Linked DNA regions of Caenorhabditis elegans. The protein of the gene in region 3 interacts with the protein of the main gene of each other region in a pairwise test. Each region holds a gene or a part of one and is shown on either strand. Other genes may lie near its edges. The genes, in order: C33G3.6, sqst-2, pat-12 and C01G6.4.

Region 1 (6,497 bases), on a different chromosome or scaffold from region 3:
TTTTTTCAAATCTTAATTCCCCGAAATCGTCATGGATAATTTATTGTTACTAGGATTTTATTATTGACAAACGCTGATTTATCACAAAATTTGCAGCATCGTAAATTCCTAGAAAAATACTTTTTTCCGAGCTGATAAAAAGTTTGAAAAAATTTCTAAAACAAGAAAATGCCGTAAATTGGTAGTTGGGAAGAAAATTTTAAAAATTTGAGTTTACATCTTTTGAAAACATGAATAGAATTGGTCTTTGACATGATATGCGTTTACATAACATTATTGGTACAATGAGAAATTAAAATTGGAATTAGGGGAAAACTGAGATTTTTTCAATTTTCAAAAAATCATATCAAATTTAGAAAATTTTTTTGAACTTTTTGATCATGATATTCTGTCATTGTGACCCCATAGGCATGTTTTAAAGCAATTTCCCCACAAAGTGTTGTCCTTCTTTAATAAGTCTATAAGGTTTTTTGAGTGAATACTACTAGGCTGGTTTCTATAAATAAGTATATATACGTTTATTAATTTTTTAAAGTCCTTGAAAACATGAATAAATAGTGAAGACTAGCCCCGGGGACCCTACTCTCTTTCTGAGAAAGACTACCTGAAAATGTATAATTTATAAGAACTCTGAGTTGCAAAAATGCTGTCAATTAACAAATTACTTAACAATATTGATCTAGCAAGCCGGTCTGCGAAGCTCTAAATTAAACACAAATTTAGAAAAAAACTCGGGAAAACAAAAAATAAATAAGAATTAAAACTATCAAGTCATAAATATTGGAAATATATCAATTTCCTTCGTCACTGTTCAAAATTAATCGGAACTCATCGTCCTCGCATTTCACAAGATGACTCATTTTCTGGTTGATGAACACGACCAGATCAACATTATAGGAAACGCGATTTGGAGCTTCATATATTGAATCTTTCTGAATTTAAATTTTTCATCATTTATCCGTATTAGAGCTGAGCTCACCGTAACTCTGACATTTTTGCGTTTGCAAAGCTCGAGATAATCAATAATTTGGCGTGCTATCTCGTAGCTTTCCGTTTTCTTATCGATTAGAAGCCTGAAATCATCCAAATATTTATTTATAGTTCTTTTCAAAACTTTCAAAACCAACCTCAAAATTGTAGTATTTCTATAGTCGTAATTTGATTTTTCCAGTGATTCAGACTGATGGTTGGTGTTTCCATATGACTCGGTTCTGAAAAGTTAAATAAATTTATGTATGCAACTTTTTATTTGAGACAATTGTATTTAGGAATAGTATCTCCTGAATGGCTACGCTTTTCAGGTACCCACTGAGTACTGTCTTGGTTATTGCAAAATTTTGTTTTTCACGCCTATTCTTAATTTCAGATGCTTGATTCTTTATCTAGGAGAAAAATGTTTTGGCTGAACCTACCTTCCATTCGTCAAAAATTGATCATACGAGTTGTACGGCTGCTCAGCTTGACGTCCGCTATGCTGCGATTGGTGTGAAAAGTTTCTGAAAAAATGTAATTTGAAAAAATACATTTGTTGCAGTTTTTAAACGACGTTGGCCAAATTTTCATTAAGCTTTATAGGAGGCATCGCGAGTCAGGCAGATCTTAGCCTACTTTGAGAGAGAGCCAGATTCAACGTCCACACCAGATCTAATAGGTTTTTCATCGAAGTATAAGCCCTATTTCGAATTTACCTGGAGTTTTCAGGGTATGGATTGTATGAGTTTGCCCGTTCATGATGTCCATTATATTGATGGTGGTTATATCTGAAAAATCCGTATTTCGTCTGATAAATAATATTAAAATTACCCATCAAATGTTGAGATGTTGATATAACTGGCATTTCTAGACTCCTGCTGGCGTGGATTATACTCCGAACTGAAAAATGATTTAATTTATTTATTGTATAAAAATCGTATGTTTTTCAGCCTGATGCCCCTTCTCTATGATTTTTTTACGTTTAAAGCTTGTGTTTTCAAAGTTTTTCATAAATAATGAATGCATTACAATATAAGTCCAAGTTATTACAAATATGGAATTTCAGTAGAAATTACACCTTTTTTTTAACATTTCGCCCATTAAAATTTACCTTGAGTTTTCGAGGACCTGATTGTATGGGTTGTACTGTTGATGATGATTATTGTAAGGATGGTAGTTTCGTCTGTGAAATAAATATGTATTTTGCTATGGAGCAATAGCATAGTACTTACCCATAACTGCCCGCCTTTTGCTGGTATTGGTTGTATTCCACACTTGAAAAACAAATTTAAAAACATAAGTTTAAAAAAAAATTGTGTGGGGTGCCTAATTGATCTTATAAGATCAATTGCGTAAGAAAATTTTACCTGGAAATAGTTGAATTCTGATCGTGAGACTGCTGGTGGTGCTGATGGTGCTGCGGTTGATTGTAGTTTGGTCTAAATTACATCTTATATTATGAAAATACTTGATCATTCAATATTTATACCTATATGGATGCTCTTGTACATTGTTTTTTTTCGTATAACAGTTTAAACACTCACCTGCTTACATGCGAATTAATCCCTTCATGATAGACATTTTGACTTGATGCTCTTTGAATGTCTCGTCTGCAAAAAAATGTTAAATTATTGTAAAAACTGATTTTAACTTACGGATCACAATAGGGTAAATGATCGGAGGACGTATTTTTCAACCTAAAAAATATATTTTTAACAATTTAACAACTAAAAAAGATGTTTTATACCATTCCTGCTGTCCATATGATTTGTTATTGTAAACGTCTTGATTTCTATCAGTGTAGTTGATGCCATTCGATGAGTTTTCATATTTATCTTGATGTGAATTGATTGAGCTTTGCCGATAGTCATTGTTCTAAAGTAAAGTCCAAATTTTAAAAAAAATTGTGCATAAATACTCACATAAGACTTCTGCATTTCAGGTTCCAATTGTTGACGCTCAGCTTCTTCCTTTATTTTTTCTCGATGGTTTAGATTATGTCTCTGAAATTATGAAATTAGAAAAAAAGACTTTATCTTCTCTTTTTTCTTTTTTTCTTTTTTTTCAAGAGTCAATTTATACAGTTTTCATCACATTAATTCGTAAATTTTTGCTAAGTGAGAAGATTATTTTATAAGCTCATTTCTGGGCTAGAAAATATAATTTGTCATATACATATATACTCACCAGCCTATCTGCATCAATAGTTTTTTGATCAAGAGATGCCAAAAATTCAGCAGACAAACGCTCTTCTTCAGACAATCGCTTTCGTTTTTCCTCTTCGGTTTCTCCTTTTTGAACATTTTCAACTGAATCAGTTTCATAATTATTCTTCATTTCATCTGGCTTTTCATCTATGTTAAATCCTTCATTGGTTTCTGCGCTTGTTGGCTTTTCTTGTCCTTGTTCTAACGGTTTACCACTTCCACCAAAGTATTTCAATTGAATCAAATAAGATTCATCTTCATCCTCTTCTTCGCTACATTTTCCGTTGCTTTCTGAATCGTGAAATTCATCAATTGATATTTCATCTTCACAATTGCTGGATGGCAGTTTTCCCGATGCATTTTTAAGATCATGCATTGACTCTTCCTTTTTGAAGCTTCTTATTAGATTCAAGTATGCGGTTTCTTCGTCGTCACTTTCAGGATCTTCTTCATGGTTTTTGGCGTTCTGAAAATAAAAAAGTTAAGCAAGTTGCGCATATTGCTGAAATATTAAGGAAAAAGGCGTTCTGGCTAGAATTATGTTATATATATATATATATATATATATATATATATATATATATATATATATATATATATATACCTGATCACTGTTCCGAGTTGATTTTTGATTCTCTCCAAAAAATTGTTCGATGGAAATGTTCTTCTCTACCGACATTTGCTTTTCTATTTTTTCCTCAATTTCACTATTTCCAATGCGGTTTCTTTCGATATAGTTTTTTCGATTTATTCCATTACATGCTGTTGCATTTTCGCCAGTGTTTTTGAGGTTTTCCGTGTTAGATTCATCCTTATCCTCTTCGTGCCGGCATTCTTCGTCGACTCCTGCCTGCAAAACCATGGTGGTATTTTTCTGAATTTTGATGCTCCGCATTAAATTTTGCATTTTCATAAACCCTATATTTTATATTGAAGCGGTGTACCGCACTAATTTTCAAAAAAACAGCGGTGGATCTCTTTTTTTCGAAAGGTTTCATTAGTCTTAAACTATAATAATTTACAAGTTCTGAACAACTTTCAACGAAAAATTATTTGAAGTTGTGAAAATTTATATCATCCAAAAAATTGTAGAAGTTAAATTAGGAAGCATTAACCAACACTTTTTCGTAATGTTTGTTCTTGAAGAATTTGTAACCAACTCACTTTATCCCTGCCCATTTCCCCGTGTCCGTGTTCTTCAGTTAATCGATTAGTGTCGTCAGCTGCGAACACAAGAAATTGGTCTTCGTGGTCGGACATACCCTGCAAAAAAATGCGTATAATTTTTTGTGAAAAATTTAAAATTAAAAAAATTGTAAAGTTGCGTTCACTTATTGAATTTTTAACTGGAAGCTATGGAGGAACAAGGGAGGTAGAAAAACGAACAGATACAAAATGGCATGATGGGTGGTAAAGTGAGACTGGACGTAATAGACGGAGAGAAAGAGCGCGTTATGTGCGATTTTATGGCAAAGGAAAGAGAGGAAAGATGACTCGTTCAAAAGCAGAAACTCGTAAGACCCTCCCGTCGTGAGAGCAGTAACCCAATCCAAGCATTTTTTGGGACCTGATTAGCCGCGGCCTTTTTTCGCTCTAAGCCCATAATGAGAAATTCCGTTTTCCTGAAAACATTTTTAGCGGGAAACTCTGAATATGTAAAAGCTTATGGAAAATTGGGAACTGTTTAAAAATATTCAAGAAACTTCGAGGCAATTTGATTAGTTACAGAAAAACAAAAAAATCTACATAATACATAAAAGTTTGCATAAATTTGGTTGAATAAAATTTTTTACGTTTGTCGAAAAATCTGCAAAAATTGTTTGTCAACATTTTTTTAGAAGACAAAAATAGTGCAAACAAGACTAACTATTTTTAAAGATTTGAGTTATGCGATCCAGAAATCTCGATAAACTCAATAAATGACTGACAAACTGTGAAGAAAATATTGATTCTAGCACCATTTGAGGGTAACATATTAATTTGAAATTTTTTGTATGTTTTGAAAATTCATAGACATAAATAGGTGGCCTTTTTGGTAGCCCCGCTCTACATGCACATTTATTTTGTCACAACTTAAACGTAATCAGTGGTTCATAAATCTTGTCAACTTTGTTCCAGACGAACTGCATAAACAAAATTGTTCTGATTGTTTTTTTTTAAATAACTTTATTCAAACTCTTTCATTTCCTCACCCATCAATATTGGATGGCATTTCGTTTATTTGATTCACTGCGAGAAGTAATTGAATATGAGTCTTCTGATAAACAATATCAGCTTCTGTTTATTTTGCATTGCGTTAATTTCGAGTCCTCACCGTTTCTCACTGATCATCAAAATTATTAGCTGAATAAGAATGTGTGAGTTCGAAATTATTGTAACCAGTAACAATCTGAATGCCTCTTTTGATAACATTTAGCTGATTACAGTTTATAGCCAACATAATTGTATTCAGGGATTTTTTGTGTCTTTCTAATTCCAATCATCACACATGCAATTGATAGTTCAAATGATGACATGGACTATGAAATCAAGAAAGGCAATTGTACCTGTGAAGAAGAAGTTTATGAGGCAACTATCGAACATGGAATCATCAAATCACCTCACTACCCGAATTCACAAAGTTGCGATGGAAGATGTGTCTACATTGTTAGTAAATTAGAGAATGTGATTGGAGTTAATAAATGTTAACTAGCTATAGATACTTCCACATCCCAACAAAACCGTTTCTCTTTACACATCGTCGTTTGAAATCTCCAGTCGGGCAAGTCTCATCGTTTACAGTCTGCTCGAGGAAAATGGTGAAAGAATTCGTATTCCGCATGCAAAGTAAGTTGTATCTTGTTTTAAATTAGAATAATAATTCAATAAAAATTAATTAAGCTCATTATTTTTTAAACTGCCTGTGAAAGGAGACCTATGTTCAGTTTCCTGCAATATATAATTGAAAAATACATGCTTGTGGGATCATCGTGAGATCAATTAGTCATATTGAGAATGCAAAAAAAAGAAACAATGAAAAAATTATGTTCCGTACAACAAAATTCTGTGCAAAACAGAACACGGCCAAGATATGAGAGTAGAGTTTTAAAGGAATTCGGTCTGCGTATAAGGGAATATCTTTTATACATTCGTTATAGATTTTAATGTAGAAAGTTAAACCGAAAAAAGCGAAGATCCCATGTCAAACTGTCCCATTTTTATGTAATCTACAAAAAATGCGGTAATTTTTTGCATAGAAAAATGTGGCGTCAGCACGCTCTTAACCATACAAAATCTTGTGAGAAGTCTGCGTCTAAGTTTCCGGATTTTTGGTAGATC
Region 2 (3,452 bases), on a different chromosome or scaffold from region 3:
TAATAAGGGCAGTGACAATCAAATTTTGTTTTTGAAAAAGTGAAAAATCATGAACGCGTCATTGGTGATTGCGGAAGAATAAATAAGGAATGGGTAGGTACAATAGACTGCTTTGGCTGAGTTGTAGAAACCTCCCACGCATGCAAAAATGCCTACTTGCATGCTTTCAATGCACAGTAAGCGTTGGTCACTTTCTAGGTGTCAGGCAGGTAGGCATTTTCTAATTACATGGAAAAGTGTTCTATGGAGCCAATTAAAATAGAAATTTTGAAACATTGTGTTAATTTTAAGACAATTAAAAATTGGAAACATGGCCTACAAAATGTTTTTGAAATTCTCAATAAAGGTGGTCCGCGGTGTTATTAATTCTAGTCCTACAAGTCAATAGGAATGAAAATTCAATTGGAACAGATTTCTGAAAAGCACAAGAAAAATTTAATTTTAAAATTCAAAATAAGAGGGAATTTTTTTTTTTGTTTTTTTTTTTGCGAGATAGATTTCAGGAAATTAAAATTGAATGGAGGATGCGTCTTGGTTTTTTGCACTTCTGCAATTACATAACTTTTTTGGTCTTTTTAAGTATAACAAGATAGGACAGAAATCCGACAGAAAAACTAAGTTCACAACATAAATAGGAAAAACAACAAAACTATAAAATACAATTTAAAACCAATGATAATGTTCTCTTTTGATATCATAACGATGTTCTGGGAAAATGTAACTTGGGGCGTTAACTGTGACATAATCAGGAATACTTGTAACCCTTGGAGTCACAATTCGTAGAAGAGCATGCTCGTAGTGAACCAAATCTTTTTCACAGTCTCCACAAATATCATAGTCTGGACATTGAAGACAGTGATAACGGCTTCCAACAATTATACGGAAACAGTTTCGGCATGGAGTGTCATGATGGACGAAGTTTCTTATTGAATCATGATGATGATGATGGTGATGACGTTTGTTATCGTTGAATCGAACAGATTGATGGATTGAATGTTGAGATGGAGTTCGAATTATTGGAACGTTAACTTCGTGATAATTACGGCTTATGCTTCTGGGACGGTAATCTGAAAAATTAAATTTTTAAAAATTTTGTTACTATTAGTTTTGAGTTACATAAGAACACACCTTTGCAAAACAACTTGAAATTTCTCAAAATTTGAAAATAAAAAATACTTTGAAAGATCATTGTTCCTTTTTTTAAAAAAACTTAATTTGAATAATTGAATTTTCAAATTGTAAGATTATCTAACAAAGAACTAACAAGGTTGTTATAATAGGACTATGGAACTGTTTTTTAAAAAGTTTTCCGTAAAATCTTACCTTCCAGTCTTATATGTAGATGTGGAAGAATATGATCAGGATTTTGAACACATTCCATAACTTGCACTGAATCATTCAACTCGTTTTGAGCACCAATTGTACTATCTATTAAAAAATTATTACAAATATTTTTTCATTTCAAAAAACTCACCCGAAAATAGACGATAAACACCATTTGATGGATACAATTCGTGTGCAGCTTCAATTAATTTTTCCATTGCGTTGAACTTATTCAAATACAAAATCTTTGATCTGTGATAGTTATTATGGTAGAATGAGACATGAATATCCCTTGGAATCGTCTGAAAACAGTTTTATTACTGAAATCGAATATTCTTGAAGTTACCGAATATGATGGAGTTCTTTCATATCTTCGTTCTATGATTGGTGGTCTCCTGTATCGAATACTACTCATTTTTGTTGACCCAAACTAAATCAAAACTAAAAAGTTAATCTATAGAAGTAATGAGCAATTTTAGAAAAAAAGTTAGGAAGAGTCGAGAAGTGAAAATGTTGATTTCAGCGCCAGTGAAACTCTTGTCAAATGCTGAATGATGCAGTTTTTGATAAGATAACATTCCACTCGTTAGTCATTTTTGGAGAGCAAAGCAAAGAAAAGAAGAAGGCACATCAGAGAATGTTGCATTTTTTGAAATATCTGAATTGACTTGGTATAACACTAGAAATAACACTAAAAACGATGGGCATTCTCTTGGGTGAGTTCTTAATCCTTTTTTAATAAATAAATTTTCAAATTGAACTGACAAAATTTGCCGAAATAAACTAACAGTATGCCGCTTGTGGACTGGCTGAGCAGTTCGTTTTGAAAGTTTTCATATCGTTATACTTGATTATGGTTACTGCAACAGTACCAAAAAATAGTAAAAAACACTTTTAAAATGTTCTAAATTAAACAGTCTTAAATAAAAATATTTGAATGCAACATATTAAATCCGGAAACTATTTGAGACATCCATTTCATTTAAAGTTTTCCACTGCCAAATTTAAAGGTTTCTAAAAAAGCAAGATTGAGGAATCAAAGAAGAAACATCAACTTTCCACATTTTTCACTAACAAGATCCAACATTTATTAGACAAATTATTTTAGGAAGAGAATGAAACAGTAAAAAAAATTAGCCGGTAGGAATAATCAACTTATTATTAGTATGTCGATGCTTCGATTTGAAATAATTTGCTCCTTGCTTGCATATAAATACTGGCCGTCTTCTCTGGTTTGTGCGAAGTTCCTCACGGAATTTACGACGCTCTTCGTGCATTTTCTTCCGCTGGCACTCGAATTCTTCCTCCTTAAATTTATCATCAAACTATTGGCAAATGTGTAAGAGGAACTCACTGTCATTTTATCTTTTAACAATAAAACTAGTTTTTCACCTCCATCAAAACGTATTCCATATCTTCTTTGATACCGTAACCTGGTTGCTGGATCAAAACTTTGTTCCATCATTAGAATAATTGCAGACCATTGTCGAAGCCACTCTAATGAATTTCCAGAGACTTCTGTATAAGTATTAGTCATCATAGCAATAAGCATGTTAATGAGCAAAAGTGTTACGAGAAGCATATAGACTACGAATGTTATCTGAAAATCAAAAATTCTATATTTTTCGATGATCTTTCTAGTCTAGAATTGTTTTAAAAAAAGTGTAAGCCTACCTTTCCAATAACGGTATGCTCACATTCTTCCAATTGCTCAAAAAATACAGTAAACTCTGTGAGTGACATGATAAACATCCGTACGTAGCTTTCCGCAACGTTACTCATAATGCTTGGTTCACGATTTCCAGAATCACTTCTCTTATAACCGAGGAATATGACATAAAATGCTTGAGAGAAGCCAACTACAATGACCAAATAGATCAAGAAGAATCTCATTAAATCACGAATTATAATTTTATAGAGCATCAAGACGAATGGTCCAACTGACTTAAATCCTCTGGAAAAGTAGTTTATTTCCTATTGTGGATCTAATCATAAAGCGTACTTACCTACAAAAGAACAGAAATTTCAATGAAGTTAATAAAACAATCACTATCCAAACAATATCCTCGGCTTCATCCAAACAAAATATTCTCAGAAAAAATGTGATGACCATTAGAATACAGGAAAAT
Region 3 (4,738 bases):
TATAATTCTCTAGGATTTTTCAATAAGGCAAGACGAGATCTCAGTGGGAGAAAAGAAAATAGAGTAACTATAAATATAAAAATTATAGATTTGGTCAAAGATGAGATCATTTCAATGATGGACACTTTTTAATTTTGAAAAGGTATCTTGTTAGAGAATTTTTTTTAAAAATCGATTTCGCCAATAAAAGTTAACAAAACAATATCTCCGTGATTTTTGAATTTGCAACTTTCCAAAAAAACTCTTTTCGAGGGCAAAAAATGAAGTGTTGAGCAGCGAGAGCCGACCACTACGGTATGTACTCGAATAAACAGAGAATCCCAAAATTGTGAGAAACGCAGGAAACGAGAGTGCTGGTGTAACGATGAAAAAGAATGGTTTTGAAAAAGAAGTACAACACAATGTTGGACATTTTTCTCACCCGCCCAGCAAACAGAAGCAACAGTGATTAGAGATGGGTGCCTTGCGCTCAGAGTTATGTCTATTGACCACAAAAGTTTTTGAAACAATAGGTATGTTAAAGCTGTTCCGCCGAGAAACATTTGGTTGCAACCATCAAATTTAAAAATTGAAATAGAATTGAAAAGATTGAACCTAGATTCTGGCACCTAATAATGAAAAAAAACACAGTGCTTTTGAGGATAATGGGGAGCCAGAGACTTAGTGAGAGGTCGGAGAGACGCACCCGGGAACTCCTAGGATTTTGACGAATGTGTTTGTCTTTCTTGTTTCGTATGTTAAAAACGAGGGATAGTGGAGAGAAAGACAAAACGAAGCAAAAAGCGCCAGGAGCAACACAGGGGAGGAGGAGGTTAAGGCACGCACGAGCATGAACACTTATCACCATGAGCACACTATTCGGGTCAAATGCGTGTTTCCCCGGTGCGCGGAACATAAGAACGACGCGGAACGCATGACGGTTAAGAACTACTGCAGAGAAATGATAAATACATCTATGTGTGGAGATGACTGGGATTTAACGAATTTCTGTAAATGTTTAGGAATACGTTTGCAGGTGGTGTCAGGCTCTCCCATTACAGTGTGGTCTACGAAAAATGCGGGAATTTTTTCCCAAAAAAATTGTGGTGTCAGCACGCTCAATCATACAAAAAAATCAGATGTCTGTGTCTTACCTCCCGCATTTTTTGAAGATCAAACTGAATTGAGACATTCTGACTCCAAGTGCGTTTGTTACACTAATATAATCTTTTCAGAAGTTGAAGTGAATTTTAACAAACTAAAGTAGAATTTTCGATATTTATTTCACTTTCATATAATACATAGTGGTGGCATAGAAAAGTTATTAGGCCTTAAAAACAGCTCCAGAGAGTACTATAATTTTATAAGATCTCCTGGGTCGTTGTAGAACTCCTATGCAGTAAAAAAATAGAATTCGGGGTAGATCCTTATGTTTTAAGCTATGAATTGGACTTCAAGACTTGCTAAAGTTGTAATTAATTAACCTATTTCTCGACTTGGACATTTTTTAGCTTTGAAGATACTCCTTTTGGAGATGACTATTTACTAGGTAAGTCTGATCGTTGTAATTCTAATGGTTTGATACATTGGTTCACTAGATCCTTAATTTACAATTTTTCAGATATTCAAAATTGTTACCAACTAAAACATACCGAATACTTAGCCAAATGGAAGTCTTTCCTCAGTTGCCAGTGCAGCGGATCTGTACCTTCCGACTTCTCGTTGTCGGGTGCACCAACCTGTAATCAAAACTGTTTGTATTTTAGGCAATTTGTTTCAATGTTGTTCAATTCGAAAATTGCTTTGTTTTTATTTCGGATTACTGATTCAACAGTCAAAGCATCACCCCCACGCATACACCGACAATTATTGTGGGAGGTGCGCGAGCGCGGGCGCCTGCTACTGCTGCTCCGAACAAACTTCGAAACAAACAATTTATGATTGCGGTAAGAGATAGAGTGAAGATAAGGAAGCAATGAAGGTTCAAAGTCAATAGGATTTTCTAAAAAAAAAATAAAGCATCAAATATGGAAAAGGAAATAACATATGATGGTCGAACATGATTATTTTGGAATATCAAACTAGATTAGTTCGTTTTTTTTTTGTCACCAAGAAATTAAAAACCTCAACCAATACTGAATTTTAGTCTTATTTTTAGGCAATAACAATTTTGAAAAAAAACTGAAAGTTAACTAAAAAGGAATATATGCAATGAACACTTTTCCTTTCATTTTGATCTTAAGACTGTATGATCAAGACAAAACCTAAGTTTGAGCCTAAACATAATTCTAAGTACAATCCTAAGCTTAAACCTAAGCATATACCTACGCCTAAACATAGGCCTAAGTCTAAGCTTATACATACGCCTAAGTCTGAGCCTAAGCCTATGCTTATACCTACACCTAAGAATAATGTTTATCTTATAGTTAGGCTTAAACGGATTACACTGCACCCTAAGTCTGAGCCTTAAACTACGACTAAGCCTTAGTCTCGTTATGCATCATTTTTAACAAGAAACAAAAAATTCCTACAACTTTAACCTGAAAACCTCTAAAAAAAACCTACTCATTAAAAAAAATTTCAAAAAAAAGGAAAATCCTCATAAAAATGAAGGAGGAGTAAAGAGGAAAAGAAAAGAGTTTCAAATTCTATCCGTCAAGCCCCCTCTCTCGCCGCGCAGAGCCTCCAGCAGCCACACATACAGTTTGTGTGTGCGTCGGCGGAAGTTTCAAGAGGCTTCTATTCGATCGAAGGAGAGATGTGTTAAGCGAGAGAAAACTCTTCGGCAGAGACACTATTCGATTTGGCGTAGAGCGCAGGACGCAAATTTTTTGGTGGATCTCATTAGTTGAGATTTTTTGGGTTGAGAGTATAGACAGGGGCTTACTTTTCCAGTCGGAAGCTGGTCCATTGATCTGTACTTCTTAGGCTCATTCACCTTTGAGGTGTGATCCAAATATCGATTTTTGCGCATTTTGATCAGCCATCCAGAATCTCCCGGAGATATTGGAGAAGCTTGAGGTTGCTGAAAACTCATTTATTGTTCAACGAATGCTCCGTTTTGAAAACCTGGAGTACCCGAAAACATCCCCGTCTACTCACCGGATTTAGCTGCTCGAATTGTGACGGCGTAGGCAAGACTGACAAATCGCTCATCGATTGGGAAGTTTTCTGAATTTCGGCTGACGGCTCTCTACACACTATTACGCTTCACACCACACCGTGTAGTTTCAGGGAAGTTGGTCAGTAGGTAGTAGGAGGATCCATGTGTTGTCGTTTCCAAGCCAGGGATATCTTTTTTAAAGGAGGGACAACACAGTATAACATGCACATAAGGACAAACAGGAAGACAAACAAACATGCAAGAAAGGGGATATAGACTTACTCTTTTCAGCGTCTCGATTCTCTGGAAACAAAATTATAAAAAATGTTCTAGTGTGAATAAGGTAACCCTAAACCAATGACATCTCTTAATTTTGTCAACTGGGTAATCGGGTCGATTTTTGAAAATGTATTTAACAATCTTAAAATAAATTTTTTTTTTCAAGGGTTCGACAAAGTTTGTTGGTCATCACTTGTAGGCTTTGTGTAATACATTTGTGATGTATTGCCAAATTTTCCTTATATTTTCTAATTTAACTATTTGAATACCTAGATTTATGCGGAACTCCGAATTACTTTTTAACTATACTTTTCATGCAGTGCTATGCATGCTCACCTGTTTCATGGTTTCAAGCTCCCTCAGGCTCTCATCATTCTTCTTTGGTCCAGGCCACCCTGGTTTGTTCCATGGCTGATTGGCTTCGTTTTCCTTTGCCTAGAACGTTTAATTTTATAATTTCATGACTTTATTAAATTAAAATCACCTTCAAATACTCTCTGAGCCGGGATGCTTCCATCTCACGATGGCGATCGACACTCTCGGCGAGATAGTTGCTGGTGGTGATTGGACGCGATTCACTGCTCTGAACATGATATAAAATTTTATTTCAGTCTTCAAAAGTACGGCTTACTCTGAACCGACGTTGCTCGAGCGGATCAAGTTTGATCTTCGACTTGCTATGCTCACTTGGGAAGTCTCCGGCTAGGTTCCGGCGGGGATCCGGAATTCTCGTGGAGATATATGGCATGTTAGCATTTGTGATAACCTGTAAGAGAAAAGTATATTGAGACCAACAAATAAGTTTAAAATAATGAGTCACTTATACAGAGCCTAATGATTTTGTAAAATAAACGTTTCTCGCGACGCAATCTGGCGCTGATCACTGTGATTTTTTTGTCGTAAGTTGCACTTTCTTCTAAAAGTTCCCTAAAGTTAATTGTATTTACACGATTTTTGAAAAACTACAAAATTTGAACTTTCTCTCTTTCCTCCCTCCCCCTTAACTAAATTGATGCGGATCTCAAATGCGGAAGGAGAAAGCCAGGTTGTTTGTTGATTGCCTCGTTACCCTCCACAAATGCTCAACTATTTTCCAGGTTAGTGACCCCATGATCGGCTTTCTTAGGTAGTGAGACTGTTTTTCTCTGGCTCCGTGCTTGCGCGCGCGCACGCAGAAGTTTACTTTCTAACGTTGTAGGAAAAAATGACCGTGTGTGCTCAAAGGAACACACATCGCGATCAGGTAGACTAGGCCTAAAGTATTTAAGGAGTCAACTGGGAACTTTGAGAAAGAAACCGTTTAATTTTCCCTTTTCCTCAAATTTTTCTTTGGTCGCCGTAACTTCTAGATTTTCCAGCAAACGATGAGGTTGCTCA
Region 4 (3,944 bases), on a different chromosome or scaffold from region 3:
AATGCGACGTTCGTACTCTCTCGGATTGCCCAATTTACGCCTACAAGACCGAAGATGAGTTTGTCTTCCGCAGAAGCTTCGGAATCGGATATATTTACGCTACGACCGAGTCTGATGTTGATTTGTATCAAAATGGCACAAAATCAACCGTTCCTGGACGTGTCTTCGTGCTCCGAACTAGTTTTGGAACTCCAACCACTGAAAACGGATCACCAGTTATGATGCCCGATATGACACCTCATCACGAGCCGGAGAAGAGCCAATTCGCCGAATTGCTGCCAGAATCGCAGAAGATTCTGAAGTCCGACACTCCGACACGATTGTATACCACTCAACGACGTGGTGTGAACATGCTAAGCCATAAGCATTACGATCAAGGAGCCTGGGATGCCGTTCGAGACTTTTTCGGATTTTAATTGACTTTTAATTTTAATATTTTTTTCACCACGAGTACCAATTTCCATCAGGGATCCAATCCTTTTTTTCAAATTTCAATTTCCAATATGAATCTTTTAATAAAACAAGTTTGACAATTTGACACTTTATGCGTTAAAAAAAAGCAATTTATTTGAATTTCAGAGTAGCCGGAAGTTTTTTTGGGAAGTCAATAAAATGAGTATCAGATACATAGACAGAAAGTGTGTACCGAGTGGTGAATTAAAGAAAAGCTACAGAACAGAGAGCGAGATGAGTGAACAGAAGAAAGAAAAATAACACGTTGGGATGGAATTGACTAAAAAGATGAACAGGAGATGATGAGGAATTAAAGACGACTACAGTATGCACAACATGGGGATTTCAGGTGGAACAGAGCAAAAAAGAAACAAAATGAAAATGGTGAAAGATGAGTGAAGAAATGGTATAGTTCATATGTACACGCATTTCTATATACAGACGTTTGTAATGGGGACAAATACAGCCAACACTGCAAACCAAACTCGAAAACTTCTACTGGGCAAGAAAATGGGAATATTTTTTGCAGAAGGCATTCATGGTTTGGCAGTTGATGAGGAAGTCGGCGAGCACACGATTTGTTGTAAGGATTGCATATTATGGGCAGTTAACGAGGAAAGTATGGTTGAATCGACTGGTTCAAGGCACGAAGGACATGTGAATGACTTCATAAGCCATTCGTCGACGCATTCTTGATGAAACGAGTGCATGCAAGGAAGGAATCGGATTCTCTCTCCTGGCTCAAAGTCGATCATACAGATGGCACATCTGAAAATGGTTTTTTTAAAAATTTAACTAGAGCGCATTAATACTGATTATACAGGCGCGAAATTTTGCGCCAAAGTGCGATACACGGTCTCGACACGACAATTTTTTGTTTAATGCGAAAAGGTGTGAGCCTTTATAGAATACTGTATTTTCAAACTCTCCTTGCAGCGGAAATTTCATCATTTTTTAAGTTTCGTGAAAATGTATGTGATTTTTTAATCACATATATTTGAGTTTTCAAAAAAGAATTAAAAATCTATGAAATTTCCGTATATATCTATAGTTTAAAATTACAGTAATCTTTAAAGGCGCACACTCTTCCACAGTACACAAAAATTTTGTCGTGCCGAGACCGGGAACCATATTTTGTGAGTGAAATTTTGCGTCTGGGTGATAATAATTTTTTCAACACCTCTGCTGTAGCTCGAACAATAATTGATATTGGTCAGATTGTAGTTTGAATAATTTAGTTAATTTTTCATTTAGATCCGAATTTCAAAACTTACTCATTACTGGTCATATCTCCTCGAAATACATCAGCAGGGATTTGCTCGAGAAGTCCTCGAATTCGGTTTTTTTTTGCTTCGTCGAGTTCCTGAGAATTTTTTAAAATTTAATTAAAATTATTCTGCTCTAAACGCTCACTTTTCCCTGTTCCTGTGCTTGTCGTTGTCTAATTACGTTGTGTTGATAGAGCTGATTTACGTACGAACTCTGAAAATTTCAGTTTAATTAAATTCAGATTCTTCAATAATTTCTTACGCTTTGTTGCATCATTGACGGATTTGTGAAGCTCATCGCTGCGTCTGATGATCGGCTCCTGCAAAAATAGTTTATTGAACTTGTTCTATACTTCAAGCATACAATCTAATTGTATTTAAATTTTTAAAAAATCGACGTGTTTTGGTTAATACAACTTCCGTTTTCATTTTTGTGGTATATCACATCAGTTTAGCTTCATCGACATCTCACAGTATACTAGTGAATGACAAAGTAAATTACCGTCGTAGTGGCGTCTCATCGTGCTGTCTGACGAACCCGAACAACGACGGCAAGCAGTTTCCCATTGTCGATCGAAAATCAAGCTGAAAAAAAAGTCGAATATATGAAGATGTGACAAAATGAGGACATCGGAGTATTTCTCAGACGACTAAAGATGAGAATTTTCTACATGACTTTTCCGGATGGGTCTCGCCACGCGGGCAACAAGTTACTGTAATTCGTGTCAAAATACAGTTTGCCATAGCGTTATATTTCTCTAATTTAATTTAAAAAATTCTGACTCATGATTAAAAAATGTATATTGTACAATTTCGGCCCGTAAATTGACACGAGCTACAGTAACCCACTGCTCGCGCCGCAAGACCTTTTAGACGTCTAATTAATAGTAAGATAATGTTCAAACGTCCATGCATGGAAAACCAGGAAGGAAAATTACTCATAATTACACATCGAACTTTAAGAACAACATCACTGCGACTTCTTTAATTAATCAGGCTTCCCAGAAAATCAATGAGAAAACATTTTTAGCGACTTTGTGAAACATTTTATGTGTATGTGTGTCTGTGTGTTTGGGTGTGCACGGAAGCTCTCGTCAAATATTGATTCTCTGGGAAACCGGGAATGACTTTCCGTAGTTTGCACGTATTTATGCCCAAAACAGGTCTCGAAACCAAAACAAATAGGACATGAAGACCCTTTTTTAAGGAAAAGAGTTAACAATAGACTTAAGAAGTGAGACGATTTAATCAGTTACTGTATCTAGGTGGTAGCTAAATATACTAAATATCTTTAAATTATTTGACTGATCATTGCAGAATTTCGTAATCCGTTCTAAAACATCAAGAATCATAGGAAATGCATTAGCAACATTTTTATACGACATAATCGTACAAAACCTAATCGATAGTAAACATTAATGTTGTCTATTGATAAGAAATACAACATTTCGATATATATTCAAATTTAAGCATGTTTCTCGCGAGGAAAGTCTAGACTAAAAAGAAATAACTAATAATTTTTGAAGTGATCAAAATTTGAAACTTAGATTCTAAAAACTTGAATCGATACATGTGAAAACAGGTGAAAAAAAGCAGTACGACCAAAAGTGGTTGTGTCTCGAAGCAGTCTTCTCATTTTCTCTCTTTCACTCTTTCTCTCTCTGTTCGATTGCAGCTGTCTCTTTGAAACGAGAGTTCATTGAGCCATAAGAGTTTCAGACGATGAGACAGCTGAAATGAGAGTATACGAAGAAGAAGAGACGCAGAGACATAACCGCATGACTTGGGGACACTCATGCCCACTGGGGCCCCGCCTTTTCCTTCTTCAGCTGTCAATTTTGTTGACGGAACTTTATTTTTTCAAATCATATCGAACAAAATTTTTTATCAAAGAGTCCTAACTTTTTTTTTGGGATTTCTAAAACTACGATCCAAACCCTGGGATACAGTAACCTTTTTCGTATTACAGGAACGCAAAACTCGGAGAATGCATATTGTGCGACATATTTGACGCGCAAAATATCTCGTAACGAAAACTACAGTAATTATTTAACTGACTACTGTAGCGCTTCTGTCGATTTACGGGCTCAATTTTCAAAATCTTTTTTTTTTTCAAAAAGTGACAGCAATATTCCATTTTCTTTCGTTTCTTCGTGTTATTTTCTCATTTTTTGCTCAATTTTATTCATTTAAAAAATCGAACGCGTAAATCGACACAAGCGA

The links.
Region 1: the proteins of pat-12 (region 3) and C33G3.6 interact in a two-hybrid assay, tested with the Caenorhabditis elegans proteins (one large-scale study listed by BioGRID).
Region 2: the proteins of pat-12 (region 3) and sqst-2 interact in a two-hybrid assay, tested with the Caenorhabditis elegans proteins (one large-scale study listed by BioGRID).
Region 4: the proteins of pat-12 (region 3) and C01G6.4 interact in a two-hybrid assay, tested with the Caenorhabditis elegans proteins (one large-scale study listed by BioGRID).

Annotation. Positions count from the first base shown.
Region 1 is NC_003284.9:14,079,877-14,086,373, forward strand, and holds C33G3.6 (Non-specific serine/threonine protein kinase), read right to left. Parts: upstream 4,443-6,497; 5' UTR 4,440-4,442; coding exon 4,344-4,439; intron 4,030-4,343; coding exon 3,784-4,029; exon of another isoform or gene 3,718-3,783; intron 3,646-3,717; coding exon 3,160-3,645; intron 2,976-3,159; coding exon 2,895-2,975; intron 2,848-2,894; coding exon 2,720-2,847; intron 2,670-2,719; coding exon 2,628-2,669; intron 2,583-2,627; coding exon 2,517-2,582; intron 2,412-2,516; coding exon 2,340-2,411; intron 2,247-2,339; coding exon 2,205-2,246; intron 2,156-2,204; coding exon 2,084-2,155; intron 1,873-2,083; coding exon 1,804-1,872; intron 1,761-1,803; coding exon 1,689-1,760; intron 1,497-1,688; coding exon 1,413-1,496; intron 1,212-1,412; coding exon 1,128-1,211; intron 1,074-1,127; coding exon 980-1,073; intron 933-979; coding exon 792-932; 3' UTR 505-791; downstream 1-504. Other genes in the region: F16B12.1 (CUB domain-containing protein), read left to right, coding at 5,694-5,825, 5,878-6,005.
Region 2 is NC_003282.8:7,327,223-7,330,674, forward strand, and holds sqst-2 (ZZ-type domain-containing protein), read right to left. Parts: upstream 1,754-3,452; 5' UTR 1,739-1,753; coding exon 1,670-1,738; intron 1,626-1,669; coding exon 1,475-1,625; intron 1,429-1,474; coding exon 1,324-1,428; intron 1,068-1,323; coding exon 664-1,067; 3' UTR 549-663; downstream 1-548. Other genes in the region: ocr-4 (Ion transport domain-containing protein), read right to left, coding at 2,457-2,630, 2,678-2,923, 2,998-3,277, 3,330-3,452.
Region 3 is NC_003281.10:735,963-740,700, forward strand, and holds the start of pat-12 (Protein pat-12), read right to left. Parts: upstream 3,017-4,738; coding exon 2,867-3,016; intron 1,719-2,866; coding exon 1,632-1,718; intron 1-1,631. Other genes in the region: idpp-1 (SXP/RAL-2 family protein Ani s 5-like cation-binding domain-containing protein), read left to right, coding at 4,726-4,738.
Region 4 is NC_003280.10:9,270,737-9,274,680, forward strand, and holds C01G6.4 (RING-type domain-containing protein), read right to left. Parts: upstream 2,307-3,944; 5' UTR 2,289-2,306; coding exon 2,224-2,288; intron 2,042-2,223; coding exon 1,984-2,041; intron 1,936-1,983; coding exon 1,867-1,935; intron 1,817-1,866; coding exon 1,728-1,816; intron 1,222-1,727; coding exon 990-1,221; 3' UTR 529-989; downstream 1-528. Other genes in the region: C01G6.3 (Lipoprotein), read left to right, coding at 1-416.